Rattus norvegicus: one gene and its partners. The protein of the gene in region 1 interacts with the protein of each later gene in a biochemical or structural test. Links are inferred from orthologs where the notes say so. Each region holds a gene or a part of one and is shown on either strand. Other genes may lie near its edges.

Region 1 (5,409 bases):
GGACCTGAGTTTGGATCCCAGCACCCACACCCTTGGCATCTGACACCCTCTTGTGGCCTCTGCGGACACCTGCACTCAGGTGTACATATCCATCCAGAGACAAACATGGCTACACACACACACACACACACACACACACACACACACACACACACACACACACACGGTTTGCCTCAATAAATTTGCATAGCTGTAGACAGCTCTATGGACAGAGAAAGAGAGCACATTCTCCCTACTGCAACCAGCAGGAACTAAGCCATGTTAGAATTTGGTAAACAGCAAACTATTAATGTTAAACTAAGTTCCTTAAGATCTTACTGTCAACACCCCTCATGCTCATTTTCCTGTAGGCAGCCTGGATGGTAGGGCAGTTTGACTCTGTAAGGAGCTGATTCTGTTGCTGCACTGACTGGCCTTGAACAAAGGATTGGTAGTCAAGGACCAGCTGGTCTACCCGTTTGCCAGTGTGATGGCTGTTCTGGGTCAACTTGACTACATCTGGAATGAACTACAGTCAGCAAACCTTACACTGCGTTTCAAAGTGAAAACCTGCTCAGTGGTTTTGGAACCTACAACTAAACTGCCTCTGCATGTTTTTTCGGAACTCTGGGATGGCTGTGCAGATGAGGGGGGTTGTGCCAATAGGGAATGGGGTCAGAAGCTTTTGTCTCACCCCTTCATCCTCCTCTCGTGTGTAGCATAGTAGGGCTTTGTTAGCATTTCGCTGGGTGGAGCACTGGCTCATTACTGCTATCCAGAATCCACTTATGAACTGTCAAAGCCACCTGATGTACATGACGGGAGACTTCCACCTTCACAGCAAAGCCAAGCACCTGTTTACTCTCTGACTACCTTTATATATAAAAAAGTCTATAGACTCATTCAAACATACTTTTAGTACCTAGAAAATTTAGAAACTATTTACCCATATTTTTAGTGGGTCTGACAGAAGCGAGTTTCAGAGAAACCAGACTAACAAGTAAGATCGTAGCTTATGAGGCTTGTGGTGTGAACGCCTGCAACAGTCGTGCTTGGGAGGCAGAGCCCGGGCCAGCTCCGTTCACTTTCAGTCCAGCGAGGGCTACAGTGCAACCCGGTCTCAAACTCTCCATAATTCTGAATTCATTGTGATTCTAAACACATTTAGAAAATCATTTTTAGAGCATCTAAGAGTGTTTGTCTGTATGTATGTGTGTGTACCTCCATGTTTACATGGGCACTGTGTACATGTAATACTCACAGAAGCCAAGAAGAGGATAATGGATTCCTTGGAACTGGAGTTACATAGCTAAGGGTCAACAAGGGTGCTAGAAATCAATCTGGGTCCTCTGCAAGAGAAGCAAGTGCTTTTAAATGACTAGGCCATCTTCCCTGTCCTTAAGGTTTTTCCATGAGTCCTTGGGACCGGAAGTCTGTTCCTCTGACTCACACAGCATTTCACACACTGAGACATATTTTCCTACTGGAACAGTTTGATAAAATGTTTGTTTGTGTGTTTCCAAGTAATTTTTACTACCAAATAAAGAGTATAAAGTATTTACTGAATTATTTTAATGAATTTAAGAGTAGAGATCAAACTTTAATAACTCAAAGCACAATATTTCATTTATTAAAGCATTGCATAATGAACTCCGGTGCCATACTGCTAAGCATTTTCCCACTAATATTTTGACTAAAACATACAATACAACCTTCCCAGAAACAGAAAATACTTCTTTAACCCTAAGCGGTTGAACAGTGAAACAGTAGTTTCCTTGACTTCTGGTTTCTTTTTTTTTTTTTTTTTTGGTTCTTTTTTTCGGAGCTGGGGACCGAACCCAGGGCCTTGCGCTTCCTAGGTAAGCGCTCTACCACTGAGCTAAATCCCCAGCCCGACTTCTGGTTTCTTAACAGTTACACTGTATTTACCCTCTTCACTCAGTACAAGTTAACCCTCATTTATAGAAAAGAAGATACCATGGGTTGCCTCACTCCCAACAACAAAGGGTATTAGGAGCAAAGGGTAGGAGTTGGCTTCTCAATGCATTTTATTTTTTAGTGTAACATTCTTTTATTTATTTTTTTAGCCACCAAGCATAAACACAAAATGTTCTTCTGTGAACGCAATGCTCTCCCAGCCCTTATGTACTGACAGATAAACAACAAAGATCCTTCAATTGCTGGTGTTCAAAGCAGTACATATCACACACACCACAGAGGTAGGAAAGGCTATTTTAATAAATTATCTTAATTGTAGACAATTTCCCAAAATTAAACAGACAAAATGATAAACCATGCCTTGGATGAGTCCCAGAGGCCACACACCATTCCCTCTATCTGAAGGTGAATCCCTGGAGTGTCAAGTCTGTCCAGTGACTTGGTGACAAGGTTGTCCAGGGTCACCCACCGCACCAGGAGAGCCTCTGCCGGCTCTCACTTGCCGATTCTTTGGACCACCCAGTCCTGCTGGCACAGAGGGCAGCGGTTGTTCTGCTTCACCCACAGGGACATGCAGCAGTTGTGGAAGGAGTGGTTACATTCTCCCCAGACCACTGCAGGAGAGAGAGAGAGCAGCTGCACTAGGCCACTTGCTACATCACAAGATCTGTATCAAGACCAGACAATGAAACAAATGGACAAACAAATCCGCTGATAGGACACAGGTCAACTTAAATAGCTAAGCTCAGGGGTACAGGAAGTTAGGAAGGGACACACAGAGGGGGACGTCAGGAGAGCGCTAGGGGCAAACAGGGGGTGGGTAAAATCAACATACATTATATGCTTATATAAAATTATCAAAACAAAAATTGTAAATATTCTAAAAATTTAAATTGCTAAGTTCAAAATTATAGTTTAAAAACCAAGAAAATAGTCATGACTCATAATCCTAAAAAATGTTGAACAAGTGATCAAAACATGTTTTTTTCTATTTACAAAAATATTTACATTTAAGAAATGTGCCACTGTGTTTTTGGGGTGAAGCCACAACCCTAGCTCCTAAGTAGCTCCATTAGTTGTCTTAAGTTAGGACAGTGGGATCCCCAGACCTCCTCAGTCATGGGGCAACCTTGGAGATCTTCTGTGGTTTGCTTTATTGAAAAACATCCTTCTGGTTTTTATTTACCAAAATACAAATGTTTTACAGGCTCAACCTATAGCTGGCTGTTATAAACAGATGGTGGGCATGGAACATCAGCAGCTGTACACTGAGGCAGCTGTTTTTCTAAAGGGGTTAATTATGCTAAACCATCCAGCTGGGTGTGGTCACACCCTACAGTCCCAGAATTTGGAAGGCAGTGGGATCCCAGAGAATCATAAAAGACCACCTTGTCTACATAACAAGCTCCAAGTGAGACCAAAACCCAAAGTTAATTATACCAAAACTTACCATGACAGCAAGTGGTACAGCACTTCATCTGACAATTAGATAGGCAGAGTGGCTGAAGAGAGCCATCTCTCTGAGCAGAGTTCTTTGCTGAGACACAGCCTTGCTATAATATATAGCCCAGGCTCCCTAGAACTCACTACGTAGGCCACAGTAATTGCCCAGTCTGAGCCTTGCAGGGTACTTGGGTTACAGATGCAAGCCACCAAGCTCAGGTCTTGAAATGTTTCTTCTTTCCCTCCCTTCTGTCCTCCTACTTCCTCCTTTTCACTGTGTTTTTGAGACAGGGTCTCACTGCACAGCTGACTGGCTGGAATTTGCTGATAGACCAGGCCGGTGTCCAACTTGTAGTGGCTCCTACCTCTGCTGGGGGTACAGGTGTGTTTACCAGTCTTGGCTTAGCAGTTTTCTTTTCTTTTTTTTTTTTTTTTTTTTGGTTCTTTTTTTCGGAGCTGGGGACCGAACCCAGGGCCTTGCGCTTCCTAGGTAAGCGCTCTACCACTGAGCTAAATCCCCAACCCCAGCAGTTTTCTTTTTTTTTTTTTTTTTGGAGCTGGGGACCGAACCCAGGGCCTTGCGCTTCCTAGGTAAGCGCTCTACCACTGAGCTAAATCCCCAGCCCAGCAGTTTTCTTAATAGGAGATATTATTTCTTTCTGCTTAGCAAAACATTTATCATGACCATGAATAGAGTATATAACCAAGTCTTAAAAGAATTTGCAAATTTATTTTATTAAGGTCTTTTGAGAACTAAAACATTTTATTATTTATTAAAAAGATGTTTTACGGGGCTGGGGATTTAGCTCAGTGGTAGAGCGCTTACCTAGGAAGCGCAAGGCCCTGGGTTCGGTCCCCAGCTCCGAAAAAAAGAACCAAAAAAAAAAAAGATGTTTTACTATGAAGTCTTCTGTCAGAATTCTTTCCCTTTTAGTTTTAGTCCTAATTTTGCTTGTTTTAAAAACTATTTTTATCTATAATTGTGTGTATATGACGGGGTGGGGGTGCTCACCTCAGTTTCATGTGGAGGAGGTCAAAGACCTTTGGGGAGTCAGCCCTCTTTCTATCTTTAAAGGGGTTCCAGAGATCACGTTTAGCTCATTAGGTTTGAGATGCGAGTTCCTTTACCTACTGAGCCATCTCACCAGTCCCTAACTGCCCTAAGCATTTTATAGTCATAATTAATCACTGCTTTATGGTTTATTTTTATGTACTGACCAGGACATTTCTCTCTCTTTCAGGTTTTTTTTTGTTTGTTTGTTTTTTTTTTGAAAACAGGTCTCACTACATAGCAAAAGCTGGCCTCAACTGCTCTACTTCTGGATTTACAGGCCTGGGTAACCTCAGCCAGTTTAATAAAGTCAATTTTAATTGCAAATTCAAACATTCCCACAGAGACAGAAGAAAAACCTTTAATTGGAAAGGCAGGAGAAAGAATTACCACATACCAACACAGTCCTCTTGTTTGTTTTCAGCTTGACATCTAAGACAGGCATCTGAAAGTAAACAGAGCGAATCTCATCTGGAGTTCAGGAGGCAACACTGGAAACCCAGACCTTCAAAGTCAAACAAAAAAGCCCCAAGGATCAGAGATGAAGAGAAGTCTTATATTATTAATTTCTCTCCTAAAAACAACTATTAAAGAGAAATACAACATGTGGCATTCTGCTAACTCCCCAATGTGATTTTACAAGCTCGCATGACAAGACAGCTTGGTGACCACACTACAGGAAGTCACTCTAGATAGAGATGCCAAAAAGTTATTGTAGACCCCCAGGTTGCTCGTGCACATGGACCAACTTTAGAGGTATTTACTTCAAGACACCATTGTAAATAACCCATAGCCATGTATTGATTATTTGATTATATACACATAAGGATCTAGAAGGATACTAGGGAACTAATAAAGGTTTTGTTTTAGGAGTTCACGTAGCCCCAGCTATCCACTAACCTGAACTGCCACACCAAATCATCACCTTAAAATCCTGCCTCTACCTTCTACCTCCAAGTTTTGGAATCACAGGCACGTGCCCCCAGCTCTCCCAATAA
Region 2 (6,400 bases), on another chromosome or scaffold:
ACGAGGACCCTGGAGGTTGTGCTACACCCACTTGAAAAATTCAAGACAAACCCAACTCTGGGCCTCCATTTATTTAAATTTGCAAGGTCCACTTCCCGACTAATCAGCATATCCCTAGGATCCAGAGTATACAGCAGGCATGCTTTAAACAACTGTTGTGTGGCCTGCCAATCACTCCCTATCTCCCCACCCCTAAGGAACTGAAGTCCTCTACCAGAGCTAAACTGTAAAAGGTGGCATGGTTGTTGTTGTTGTAATGATGCTGCTGGGTTTGTTGATGTTGTTTGGGCTTTGTTTTTTTGTTTTGAGACAGGGTTTCTCTGTGTACCCCCTTGATGTCCCAGAGCTTACTCTGTACAGACCAAACTGCCCTCAAACCCACAGAGATCCATTCAGTCTGTCTCTCAGAGTCTTTTGTCCCTTTCCTTGCTGTTGGCATTAGTAGCCTGTCTCTGGGACTGAACCCCAGAGACAGATGGGTTGGATTCACATTCAAGTTCAGCCATGCTGGACAAAAAAACAAAACAAAACAAAACACTACTTATTTTCTGTGTTCAGGTCCCTTACCTGAAAGCTGGAGGTAACAGAAAAGTGTTGCCCAGAGCTGTTGTGAGGATGATATAAGGTAACAATGCAGTAGGCTCTTGGTAAGTCTTAGGTGAGCACAAGAGGCTCCCTCATGAAATGGACCTAGAAGTGACTCACCTCTTTGCAATGTCGAGATTCAGGCACTATTGGTGAGACACTGGTTCCAGCTGTGTCTGCCTTTGTAGTCTGGCTTCAAGCTCTTATCTTTTTTCACCAGGACTTTGCACACTCTTGCAGAACTTGCCAACAAAATGGGTTCTGAACACCTGGTGTGGGTCCAAAGAAGAGCGAGCGGGGAGAGCTAACAGGAGAGGAGCTGTAAGATAGTGCTGTTTAAGCTTAGGAAAATAAGACAAGGGCTGAAGAGATGGTTCAGTGGTTAAGAACATGCACGGTTCTTACAGAGGACCTGAGTTCAACTCCCAGCACCCCCATGCAACTGCTTGTAACTCAAGCATCCAAGGAATTTCCCCTAACTTTGGACACATATACAGGCATACACACGTGTACAGGTAAATAAATAAAATGTTTAAAAAAAAATAAAAGGAAAATGAGACAAGAGTTAGCTGAACAAAGAACAGGTGTTTTCCTGAGAGGATAAGGTGGCTTGTCATAAAGAGTTCACTTGAGTACTGTAAAAGCTATTCCTGGTTGTCAACTTGACTATATCTGCTCTAAACTACAATCCAGAATCAGAGGGCTCACCTGTGATCTCGATCTTGAGGCTGGAAGATCTTGAGTTTCTGACTTGGATCACAATAAATTGCCTCAATATAGAGACATTCCATACGTTCTGTGACTCGAGAGAACCCTAATACAAGTACCATCTCTTCTTTGCTCATGGCCTCCCTTAGATCAAAAGCCTTGTTTGTTTGTTTGTTTATTGAGACAGGGTCTCACTATGTAGCTCAGATTATCCCGGAATTCACTATGTAGACCAGGCTGGCAAGTGCTAAGATTAAAGCTGAGTGCCACCATGCCCAGCTGCCTTTTACCCTTCATATCTGTGCACAAGTGTGTATCTGATGTATGTATCTGATGTACGCACACGTGAGCCCGAGTAACGTGTGTAGCTATGTATGTGCTACATCGGGTGATCTAAGGATAACTTTCCTTCACTTTTTTGTGTTTAAGACAGATTTTCATTAAGTCACCCTGGCTGGTTTGGAATTCTATGTAATCTAGGCTGTTCATCGCAGGATCTCTTTCCCTCTACAGGGTACTTGGTCCTAATCCTCTGAGGATTCCTCTGCCTAGGCTTCACATCTTCCCACCTGAGTTTGGAAACAGGTCCTCATGCCGACAAATGCTTTACTCACAGAGCCCAATTGCCTTCTTTCGAAAGAAATTTTAGGATCTAGGGGCCATGTAGCTCAAGGGTAGTGTTTTGCAGGTGAGACTTCTGGAGTTCGTTCCCCAGAACCACAAAGAAAATAAATGAAATCTTAACATTCCTTGGTCTTTTCCACAGCAAATATTCTCTTTTCAAGGCCCTACCTCTCTAGGAGTCTTGCCTATTTCTCTCAGAGTAGAAGATCTCCAGTCCCACAGGGACAGAGAATTCATACCCCATGAGCTGCAAGAAGAACGCTGCAAATGGAACTACAGGGCCTTACATATGCAAAGCAAGTTCCCCCACCACTGCTATACATCTAGGGGCCTGAAGCGTATTTTTGAGGCAGGCTCTTTCTACGTATCTCTGGCTGTCCTGGAATTTAATATGTAGACCAGGCCTTCCTCTGTCTCTCGGGCGCTGGGATCGAAGGTATGCCCCCCAAACTCCAGGCCTAAAGCAGATTTTTAAAGTGCACATAGGAATACTAGGAACAGGAGAAATTAAAAAATAAGAAGCAGGAAGAGTGCCCTCACATCCATCAGCCACCTGATGCAATCTGCACCTCTAACAATCCCGTAGCCCTAATGCAGCTGCAGACAGGTCGGATCGTTTGCATTCAGGACTGGTGCTGGGCATAGGGCTATAGCTCCACCAGCAGGCACTGTATTAGTGTGGTACACGGAAGGATCAAGCGGCTAAATGAATGGAAACAAGCCGGAAGGCCGTGTGCCGGGGTCCTGGACGCAGGTGCCTCCATGACCAATCAGTAAAGGTTTTGCCACATGGCCTGTCCTCAGGTCGTGCTCTCCACCAATGAGCGACGGTCACCTAGTTGGCCGGTGTACGCGACTGTCCGCGCGTGGAGCTGCCAATAAAGTTCTTTATAGCTTTGAATTTTTTTTTTAAAGTGACCGCTGCGGTCACGGCGCAGTCCCCGCCCCGCCACTTCCGGTCCCGCCGCCGGGAGCCGGTGCGGCTGTGAAGGCCAGCGCGACTCGGTGCCGCTGCTGGCCGGGCATGATTTTGGGTGCCGGCTTGCCTCGCCTGACTCGCGGTGCTCAGGTGAGCTGGTCGCGCGGGCTGGGCTGAGGCCGCGGCTCCTCTCGCCGGGCGCCACGCGGGACCGCGAGATCGGCGGCTGACGGGAAGCGCTGGGCGGGCAGCGAGCCCCCGCGGCTCTGAGGGCCGGGCCGAGGCGGACCCCGTGCCGCCGCCCGCAAGGTCACGGTCCGGAGCTCGGGCCGTCCGGGAGGCCGAGGCCGCGGCGGGGAGGCCGCTGTCCCTGAAGGGAGGCGGGAGGTGGACACAGCCCGCCACGGCGAGGGCGGGGAGGAGGGGCGGCCGGCCCGCCTGGCCCGGTTCGGTCCCTGACCCGGTTCCGCGGCGTGTCACCTGGGGTGTGGCCTTCTCTCCAGCGGGCTCAGTTTCCTCCGTCTCCGGTGGGCATTGGACCCCACTCCTCGGGGCTGCCGGTGGGTTGGAGTTGCTGAAGGCGGCTTCCTGGAGGGGAGACTGGCCTGTGGGTAGAAATCTGCTCTCCTTAAGAACCTGGTAGGGCTTGGCGGTGAAGGGAAAGAGGGCATCCCAAGACCTGGTTATCAGATTGAACAGAAGGTTCCAGAAATGAGCAGGGTGGTGTTGAAAAACAGTGAGGTGGCTGGTGGGCCTGGTGCCGAGGCTTCCTAGCTGTTTGGGCCGAATGTTGGGAGCTCGGCAGTACGAGAGAGACTCATAGGTGGGAATTAAGAGGGATAGTGATGGAGGGAACTTCAGGAACAGAATTAACCTGGACAGAATTAACTTGGCATTCAGTACCCAAAATCAAAGATGAGTCCGGAGGCGGTCAGTCAATAAACCGGGTTAGAGGCCCTTGGGCACTCATGCTGTACGATACTGGGGTGCGGAAGTTTTTAAAGTCTCAGTCTGAGCGCTTGCCTAGCAAGCGTAAGGCCCTGGGTTCAGTCCCCAGCTCCGAAAAAAAGAAAAAAAAAAGTTTAAAGTTTCAGTCTGTTTCTTTAGACTTGAGAGGTTAGGCATCCTTAGTAGCCCCGTAGTCCTCTCTTAAATGGCTTCGATTGGAACTGTCAGTGAGGAGTTAGCCTCACCTTGAGCTGCCTGGCCCTGCCCAGGGGACATCAGCTTGATTTCAGCACAGCACATAGGAATGCTGAATAAACATGATTTGGTGAGACTGGTAAATAACACACTACAGTCCTCTTTGGATGGCCCAAAGGCTGGTCCCACCCAGAGGAGGAACTAAGTGGGCCAATTACAACTTGTGGAATTTGAAACTCAGCATGCTGTTCAGAATAGCTGATCTGTTCCCAAGATACTGCCTTAGTCACAGTGTGATTTTTTTTTCCCCCAAGAAAAGGGAAGTTTTGGTCAAAGTGGGGTTTTCTAGAGGTGGGACATGTTGAGGAGGGAAAGAGAATTCAGAGGTAACTTCTACCCTTTTGATAGTTCGAGTAACTGTTTTTGTTTGATCCCCTTGTGTAGATTTAATTTTCTGATTGTGGGACATTTCCAAATTGAGACTTTGGTTTATTCCCTCACATGCTAGTGAAAGTGATGCAGATGATAGATAAAATAGCGGATACTCTAATCTTACTTGCCTTAGAGTATCAGAAAGTACGTGTTGGGTTTTCTGTGGAGACACCACCAGTGTTGTTTTCTACCTTGCACAGTCTTCACACAACATGTCCTACTGGAAAAGCCTACAGCTCACTGAAGATTACAAGTTAGAATCCACACCACACAGAGTAGAGCATGGTATGCCCATCCTCTGCCTCTGAGGGTGTGAGAGCAGTAGGCAGAGCCCTTGGACTGCAGTGGCAGGTCTAAGCAGCCAAGTGCAGGTTTGCAGGGTGTGGAGCAGCTTCTGTTCTTCATTTTCCAAGAAGCTGTTGTGACCACTAGGGACTGCCTGCTCAACCCTTAACCAGTGCTTTCCCGTTTCACTTTCCACCACTTGCCTTAGTGATACCAAAGGTGAAAACCTAATGGTCCTCGTGTGGAACATCCTCACTGGTCCCAGCAGTGTATAGGGTTGTTGTCTTGGACATTGTCAGACACCCCTGATGGCCCAAGGTCTGAGCATGGAGTGGTGGACTTAGACTTGGCCAAGGTGGGAAGCACTAACTCATGATCCTGCTTGAGGAATTTCTGACAAGATCATTCCAGGCGGCAACAAGGCAGGAAAACATTGTTACGGTTCTGCTGTTTTGGGAGCTTGTGGGCTGGAGTCCCTCTGGGGAAGTGACTTAGCGAAGACTGGAGGATGTCTGTGTTCTGACAAGGCTCATCTTTTCACATAGATGCCCCTAAGGAGAAGCTATTACAGAGTAGGACTGAACTGGCCCATCACTTCATGACTGATCAATGTTTGTATAAACTACACCATACCCACACTTACAACACATCTAAATGAAAACTAGTTTTTTTTGTGGTGAGTGCTTCTTATAGCTTAGTGTCTTGGACACTCATCCTCCAGGCCTGTTTCAGGAGGTGTGTGTGTGCATGTCTGCCAGTGTGCATTAGTGTTAGGAGTCTTTCCCAGATTTCAGAGCTATGAGCTTAAGCATACTGATGTGCAATACAAGAATTGTTTGGTACATTTAGACAAATGATACTTTCTGATTTTATTTTGGTATTTTTACCTTCCTTTTCTGATACATCTACTGTAGCCCTGACTAACCTCCAACTGACAGTCCTCCCTCAGCCCCCCAAATACTGATGTTACAGGTGTGTGCCGCTGTGGCCAGTGTAACCAGTCCTTATTGTGGCAGGGTCATGGGAGGATCATAGTCACTGTCTTGTTTTTGTGACACGTGATACAAAGTGAAATCTGCCCTTTACTAGGGATACACAGAACGTGGCGTGAGAAATTAGGCAAAAGAGTTGCATTTGAGGGTTTTTAAATTCTGAAGAGAGGAATATTCTTGTGTTCGAGGTCTGAGCCTTAAGTTTGACCTCTCAGGTAAAACTTTTCCTCTGTAAGTTTTAGATTTTGTTTGACTGAGAAATTATCAGGCCTATATTGAAAGGAGATGCTTTTAAAACAAGAAAGGAAACTATGCAAATATTGTACTACTTACCCTTGCTGGAGTGTTGGTATGAGGGGTGTCTGACCGATGGAAGTGTATAATAGACACAGAAGGCAGCTTGTGGAGGTAGGGATCGCTGACACCCTAATGTAAATTGTACTCGGAGTGCAAATATCTTCACTCCACTGGTCCATCGGTTAGAACAAATAAAGCCTTGCAGGGAATGCTGATAGTGAGAGCGGAGAGCAGGCACACGAAGTGCTACACCTTCTGCCCGGCAGTTGTTGCTCTGATGCGGCTGTTGAACGAACAGTCGAACAGTCGAAGGCTTACCGGGTGAGTGGCAGCCCTTTTTGTGGTAGGCAGTCAGGAGCATTCCCTCACCTGCCTTTGGAATTTGCTGTCCTTCCCAGGGAGGTTATGGCTTGAG
Region 3 (6,111 bases), on another chromosome or scaffold:
GCACTTGAGAAATTGAGGCAAGGACAGGAGTTTAAGGCCAGCCTCTATTATCTGAAAAGTTAGGACTGGCCTGAGCTACATGAAACCCCATCTCAAAAAAGCAGTTGGGGGGGGGGGGGGGGTAAGGCAGGCTGCTGGAGATATATATGGGGTAGAGTGCGTATCTGACTTATGGAGGGCCCCAGATTTAATCCCCAATACCAATTCTTTTAAAAAATGATTACGTTATTTAGTGTACATTGTGCCTATCTGTGTGACACTTGCCTACAATCCTAGCACTTTAGAAGCTAAAGCAGTTGAATGGCAATGAGTTCAAGGCCAGCCTAGGCTGCAGGAGTTACAAGCCAAACCCAGCTACAAAAACAGAAACAAATAGTGTGTGAGTTCAGGGCCCCAGGAAAACTCAGTGCTACAACCACTGCACAGCGGCATTGTTGACCAAACCCTTACATCGTTGTCCGAGTCCCCAGGGTAAATATCGCTTCCTACTCTCATCTCTGTATTCTGCTAGCTCTTACCATCTGCTGTAAATCACGTCAGTTATTGTAGTAGTTGTTTAGTGGGAAGGCCATAGATAAATTTTTTGAGTCAGGAAGTTCGGGTACAGCCTGGGCAATTCTTTTCCTTTGTCACTGGAATCTACTCCTCCACCTGTAAAGTTTCTAAGTGAAAGATGCTGTCAAGGAACCATTCCCAGTGTCTTCCTGCGTCCTCCTCCCTAGCGACCTGTAAGCTGCAGCCTGCATCTTCTACCTAATAGAGTTTCTGATTTGCTGTGAAATGAATCAGAGTCCTGAATCCCTCTCCCTTGCCCTCAGGCGTACCTTCTCATTGAGGAAGACATCCGAGACTTGGCTGCCAGCGATGACTACAGGTATACAGAAGGGGGCCCCTTCCCCCAATCTCCTTCTGCCTCGGTAGGCACACAGAGGAGGCTGGCACCCTCCCTTTAATCTCCACCCAATGTCTCCTACAGAGGATGCTTGGACCTGAAGTTGGAGGAGCTGAAGTCCTTTGTTCTGCCATCCTGGATGGTTGAGAAGATGCGGAAATACATGGAGACACTACGGACAGAAAATGAGCATCGTGCTGCTGAAGCAACTCCCCAGACCTGAGCCGAGTGTCCTGGCTACTACACTTGGCAGTCTGCCTCCCAGACCCTCTTTCCCGGCCCGGCTGAGGCCATCATGGGGATGCGGTCTAGTTGGCTCTTAGCAGCATCAAGCTGTACATGAGCTAGTTTGTAGTGACTCACTGCAGAGCCCCCCAGACTGGCTTGTGGTTCTGTTTCTAAAGTTATTGGAATAAGAAGCAATTAAACAAGTTTGTAATAAACACAGGTGGTGAGCCTGCTGTAATGAGTGCCTTGTGGGACCTGACAGAGCAAGGGCCAAATAAGTCTGCACACCAGAAACGGACCACCTACATGCCTGCCCACCTCATCTGTGCTCTCCCACAGTCTCCGTCCTTGTTCCAGCTTAGGAATGTTGCACAGTGTGAAGGCTAGCCCAAAGGGAAGGATGGCCTACCAAAGGAAAAATGCAGTTGCCTTTTATTTTCCCAATGTTATAGGCTATAGGCTAACACACTCACTGACTGCTGAGGCTGTAAGCAAACTTAGTAGAGTATGGGTTTTTTGGTTGTTGTTTTTTGGGGGGGTTCTTTGTTTTTGTTTTGTTTTTGCCTTTTGGGATTGAGACAGGATCTCTGACATGTAGCCATGGCTAACCTAAAACTCAAAGATTCCGCCTTGGTTGGGATTAAAGGCGTTGAGCACCATCAGACCTTGTTTTTGTCTCCTTAAGGCGCAGTCTCATATAGCCCAGGCTAACCTAGAGATAACCCTCAACTCTTGACCTGCCTGTCCTCACCTTCCATGGGATTACAGGCATGCGCCACCTGAACCCACGTTTACTAATAGATGGGGAGTCTGCTCTGACAACCGGCGCCTTTCTAAGTTTTTTTTTTTTTTTTAAGTTCTTGGGAACCCAAAAAAGTAACTAACATTTTTATTAGGATGAGGAGAAAAGGCTTCCGGCTTGGAGAATAACACTGTCAAGTTCTCCCTTTTCCGGAAGATGTGCTCCCTGCTGGGCGTGTGTGTGCTTGGACCGACCAGCGGATCTGGACGGAGGTCCAACCATTGCCGGGCGTGTGGAGCACTCGCTCGTGAAATCTCAACCCTTGGAAGTGAAAGCAAGGAGGATCAAGAAGTCAAATTCATACCTGGCTGCATAGCCAAATTACAGACTGACGGCAGAAGTCAGGGTTCCAAGAGACCCGGCGGGGGAGGGGCGGCGTACACACGTGGACCCTTCCTTTGACCCTTTAATGGTCGGCGTCGTCCAAAGGCCACCAATCTGCCACCTATTCGTTAGTTAATGGCAGCCTTCTTCACCAATCGGCTATCCGAAGTACGCCCCGCCGTCCAATCGCAGTGCATTACTGGGTGGCCTAGCAGTTGCGCAGAGGCAGAGCAATCCTGGGCGTCCCATTGGCTGGATCAAACCCAAGCGAGCCTCTGATTGGCTAGCGCAGCAGGAGGGTTACAATTCAAACGCGGGCGGCGGCCCGCAGCCCCGCAGTTGCTCTTTCCTCTCCACACGCTTGTCTCCGTGCCAGCACCTCTGGGATGGCCTCGCAGAACCGCGACCCAGCTGCAGCCAGCGTTGCCGCCGTTCGAAAAGGAGCAGAACCCTGCGGGGGCGCCGCCCGGGGCCCTGTGGGCAAGAGGTGAGTGGTGCGGAGGTCACCCCGGGGGCCTTGGGACACAAGAGGGGCACCAGGAACGCAGGAAATGGAAGGCTGACGGCGCTGCCAGGCAACTCTCATAGGTGGTTCGGCGAGCGCTGGGGTTAACATGCGGCCAGAAGGCTCATCTGGGTCCTCCTGTAGATGATAAGCGCCCGAGCTAAACCTGCCTTTGAAGAAGGGGCAAGGCCTCCATGACAACTCTTCAGGATAGTTTGGTGGGAAGTGATGTATCACCTCCACAGTGCCCCCGAGTAACCTTGACTTCTCTTTGCAGGCTACAGCAGGAGCTGATGACCCTCATGGTGAGTGACTGCGTGTTCTAAGATCAATTGGCCTATCTTTCCATCCCCCACCCAATTATCAGTAGCCTCCTTTACTACTGTGGCTACCTGCTCATACATACTATGGGTGTAATTCACTCTCTCTCTTACGGGAAGCCCTTTGAATGCCAGCCCTCACTTGAGCACCGCAGCTGTGTATGGAGTCATAACCTTATCTGGGTTCATCCCTACTTACTTTTCTGGCCCCAGCTCTAACCTTGCCCATCCCCACCCTTCTTGGAATTGGTATCCCTTAGAGAATTCTCTCCTCTGGTTGTCCATTGCTACATTACCCCTAAGTAGCAATCTACATGTTTTAGTGACATTTAAATCCCAGGTGAAAAACAGAAGAGGCAAAATTTGGAAGCACTGAAGGTGCTTCCCTGCTGCCCTAGCGTGGTGATCAGCCCGTGGCTTGGCTGCTTTATTTAGAGGCATAGCATGATTCGGGCGGGGCAGTCGCTCACCCACTGATCCCTTTTGCTGTGCCTATAAGTGTATGCTCAAATGCATCATTTGGGTGTTTCCTTCCTCAGATGTCTGGTGACAAAGGAATTTCCGCCTTCCCCGAATCAGACAACCTGTTCAAATGGGTAGGAACCATCCATGGAGCCGCCGGCACTGTAAGTGGGCAGCACTTTGCTAAGTGTGGTGAACTTAGCTGAGGAAGTGAACTCCAAGTGCTAGGTCGGCTTCAGTGCCCTGAGCCTGTTCACAGGCTCTGAGCCCTGTGGTTGTGTTCTTCAGTGTGAGGGAAAGGCACTCTCAAGGCAGTGAGTGATAGAGTAGGCGGGGCATCTTGGCTTGTGGGAGGGCACTAACAGCTTCCAGTTACTGCAGATCTGGTTTTAAGTCAGAAATTGGATCTAAATTTTCCCTTTAGTAATTGAGATATTAGTCGGACCACTCTGGTAGCCCTCGCTCAGGATGCCAGGTCAATCTTTTGACCAGAAGGTCACTGATGTCATAGGCCAACTTAGCATACAGTTTGCTAGTCAGACGCAGACGCACTCCTAAGTTCCTACCTGCATGGCCCTTATTTGGGGCTTGGATAGAATGTGGCCTGCTGGGGTGGGATGGGGGAAGTGAGGGCACAAGGTGAACACAGGCTTACCCTGCCCTTCTTTCCCCGAATGCCAGGTATATGAAGACCTGAGGTATAAACTCTCCCTAGAGTTCCCCAGTGGCTACCCTTACAACGCACCCACAGTGAAGTTCCTCACACCGTGCTACCACCCCAACGTGGACACCCAGGGCAACATCTGCCTGGACATCCTCAAGGACAAGTGGTCTGCACTGTATGATGTCAGGACCATCTTGCTCTCCATCCAGAGCCTGCTAGGAGAACCCAACATCGAGAGCCCTTTGAACACACATGCTGCAGAGCTCTGGAAAAACCCCACAGGTAGGGCCTTGTCCAGCTCAGAGTGACCCTTGCTAACGTACAAAGGGACCCTGGGGACTCGGTTGGTTTCTCCCTCATCCCCCTCACTGCTTCTCCATACTCACAAAGATGAAGGGGTCGGGGGGGTAGAATATATCTCCTGTTCCTTTCTGGACTCTGGAAACCAGTGTCCCAGGGAGCCAACCAGATGGCAACACTGGGGTATCTGCTGGACAGGGAGAATAGGCCTCCCCCATCCATCACTCACCCGAGCCCCCTATGTTCTCTTCCAGCATTTAAGAAGTACCTGCAAGAAACATATTCAAAGCAGGTCTCCAACCAAGAGCCCTGACGCCAGCTCTCCAGCTTTCTCTTGTGTCGTCTCTTTTCTTAGATGTCTGTCCTTTCTCCGTGGTTTCTGAGCTGTGCTGTTTTGTTTTATTTGTTTTTTTAAATTAAGTCTGCTTGAACCCATACAATGTATATTAAATAAATGCACGTTGATTGTTTTTGTATAAATTGCTGTCTCAAAGTTAACCTCAGCCAGAGGATGGGGGAGGGGCACTAGCTTAAAATCTGGGTTCTGACCTGACGTGTACAGGGTTGGAAGCAGCTGATAAGACAGTGTGGTCACTGAGAAGTGACTTTGTGTCTTACCTTATCGCTCTGCATATATTTCTTCTCAAGTGGGTGTCACATTGTGTATTTGCCTGGAGGTATAGCTTCCCGGGCAGAGAGCCTGTTTAATCCGAGGGAGGTGCCCAGCACCAAAGCTCACACTTCTGTGGGGTCACAGCATAAACTACAAATACTCCATCAGAACAGTTCCGGTTGGGATGCAGAGGAGGCTAAACCAGACCTTCAGCTCAAGAGTCTGTAGTGTGGGAGTGCTAGACACCCACTTTCTAAGATGTTAAAGATCTGGAGGATGGGAGACCCCACTCAAGTTGCCCTGTAGCAGGCTCAAGCTCAGAAGATAAGAAAGATTGAGCTCTAGACCCAGGTGGGTGATTCCTGCTCCATCTCCACAGGGTGTTATGGGTCCTACCCAAGTGTCAAGCAGCTGGCTGTACAGCCCTGTGGGAAGAGGGAGGGGAGGGGAGGCAGAGGGCCTGGCCTGTCAGGAAGGTTCTGGGCCCCTGTTAACTACTGTTAGCCCCTGCTCTTCCCTAGGCTTTTAGTGGGAAAAAGTCCGCTCTGAAGTGAGTTGTGTTCTTAGTTTCCTCCTCAGCATAGAGCTTTTATTAAATACTTTACTCATTTTTAATTTATATACATTGGTGTTTTGACTACATGTATATTTAAGGGTATTGGGTCCCCTGAAACAAGAGTTACAGACAGTGGGTGCCATGTGGATGCTGGGAATTGAACTCGGGACCTCTGGAAGAACAGCCAGTGTCTTAACCACTGAGCCATCTCTGCAGCCCCAGGGCATAGAACTTTATAATCCATCTTAATGTGGACAAACCCACTTGGGATCTTGTTAAAATTCAACTGTGGGAGGAAGGGAGGCGGAAGAGCCGCACTTCTGGTGAGCCCCAGGTTACTTTTGCTGTGGTCTAGTTAACATACAAGTTGTTCATCAAAGACTGTGACTTCGTCGGAAGAGTTTTTGCCTGTCATCCATGAGACCCTGCATTCAGTCCCCAGAAC

The links. The genes of interacting proteins can lie anywhere in the genome.
Region 2: the proteins of Rnf7 (region 1) and Ube2f form a complex in vitro, tested with the Homo sapiens proteins (10 studies listed by BioGRID, with this or other methods). The link is inferred for Rattus norvegicus from reciprocal best matches to the Homo sapiens genes RNF7 and UBE2F.
Region 3: the proteins of Rnf7 (region 1) and Ube2c form a complex in vitro, tested with the Homo sapiens proteins (4 studies listed by BioGRID). The link is inferred for Rattus norvegicus from reciprocal best matches to the Homo sapiens genes RNF7 and UBE2C.

The regions. Positions count from the first base shown.
Region 1 is NC_086026.1:105,916,854-105,922,262, forward strand, and holds the end of Rnf7 (RING-box protein 2), read right to left. Parts: intron 4,917-5,409; coding exon of another isoform or gene 4,879-4,916; exon of another isoform or gene 4,857-4,878; coding exon 4,809-4,856; exon of another isoform or gene 4,757-4,808; intron 2,532-4,756; coding exon 2,413-2,531; 3' UTR 1,542-2,412; downstream 1-1,541. UniProt on the Homo sapiens protein: Catalytic component of multiple cullin-5-RING E3 ubiquitin-protein ligase complexes (ECS complexes), which mediate the ubiquitination and subsequent proteasomal degradation of target proteins.
Region 2 is NC_086027.1:99,290,647-99,297,046, forward strand, and holds the start of Ube2f (NEDD8-conjugating enzyme UBE2F), read left to right. Parts: upstream 1-2,868; 5' UTR 2,869-2,986; intron 2,987-3,224; exon of another isoform or gene 3,225-3,396; intron 3,397-6,400. UniProt on the Homo sapiens protein: Accepts the ubiquitin-like protein NEDD8 from the UBA3-NAE1 E1 complex and catalyzes its covalent attachment to other proteins. Together with the E3 ubiquitin ligase RNF7/RBX2, specifically neddylates cullin-5 (CUL5).
Region 3 is NC_086021.1:173,923,396-173,929,506, forward strand, and holds Ube2c (ubiquitin-conjugating enzyme E2 C), read left to right. Parts: upstream 1-2,579; 5' UTR 2,580-2,632; coding exon 2,633-2,733; intron 2,734-3,028; coding exon 3,029-3,056; intron 3,057-3,610; coding exon 3,611-3,697; intron 3,698-4,214; coding exon 4,215-4,479; intron 4,480-4,751; coding exon 4,752-4,810; 3' UTR 4,811-4,980; downstream 4,981-6,111. Other genes in the region: Dnttip1 (deoxynucleotidyltransferase terminal-interacting protein 1), read left to right, coding at 819-874, 977-1,115. UniProt on the Homo sapiens protein: Accepts ubiquitin from the E1 complex and catalyzes its covalent attachment to other proteins. In vitro catalyzes 'Lys-11'- and 'Lys-48'-linked polyubiquitination.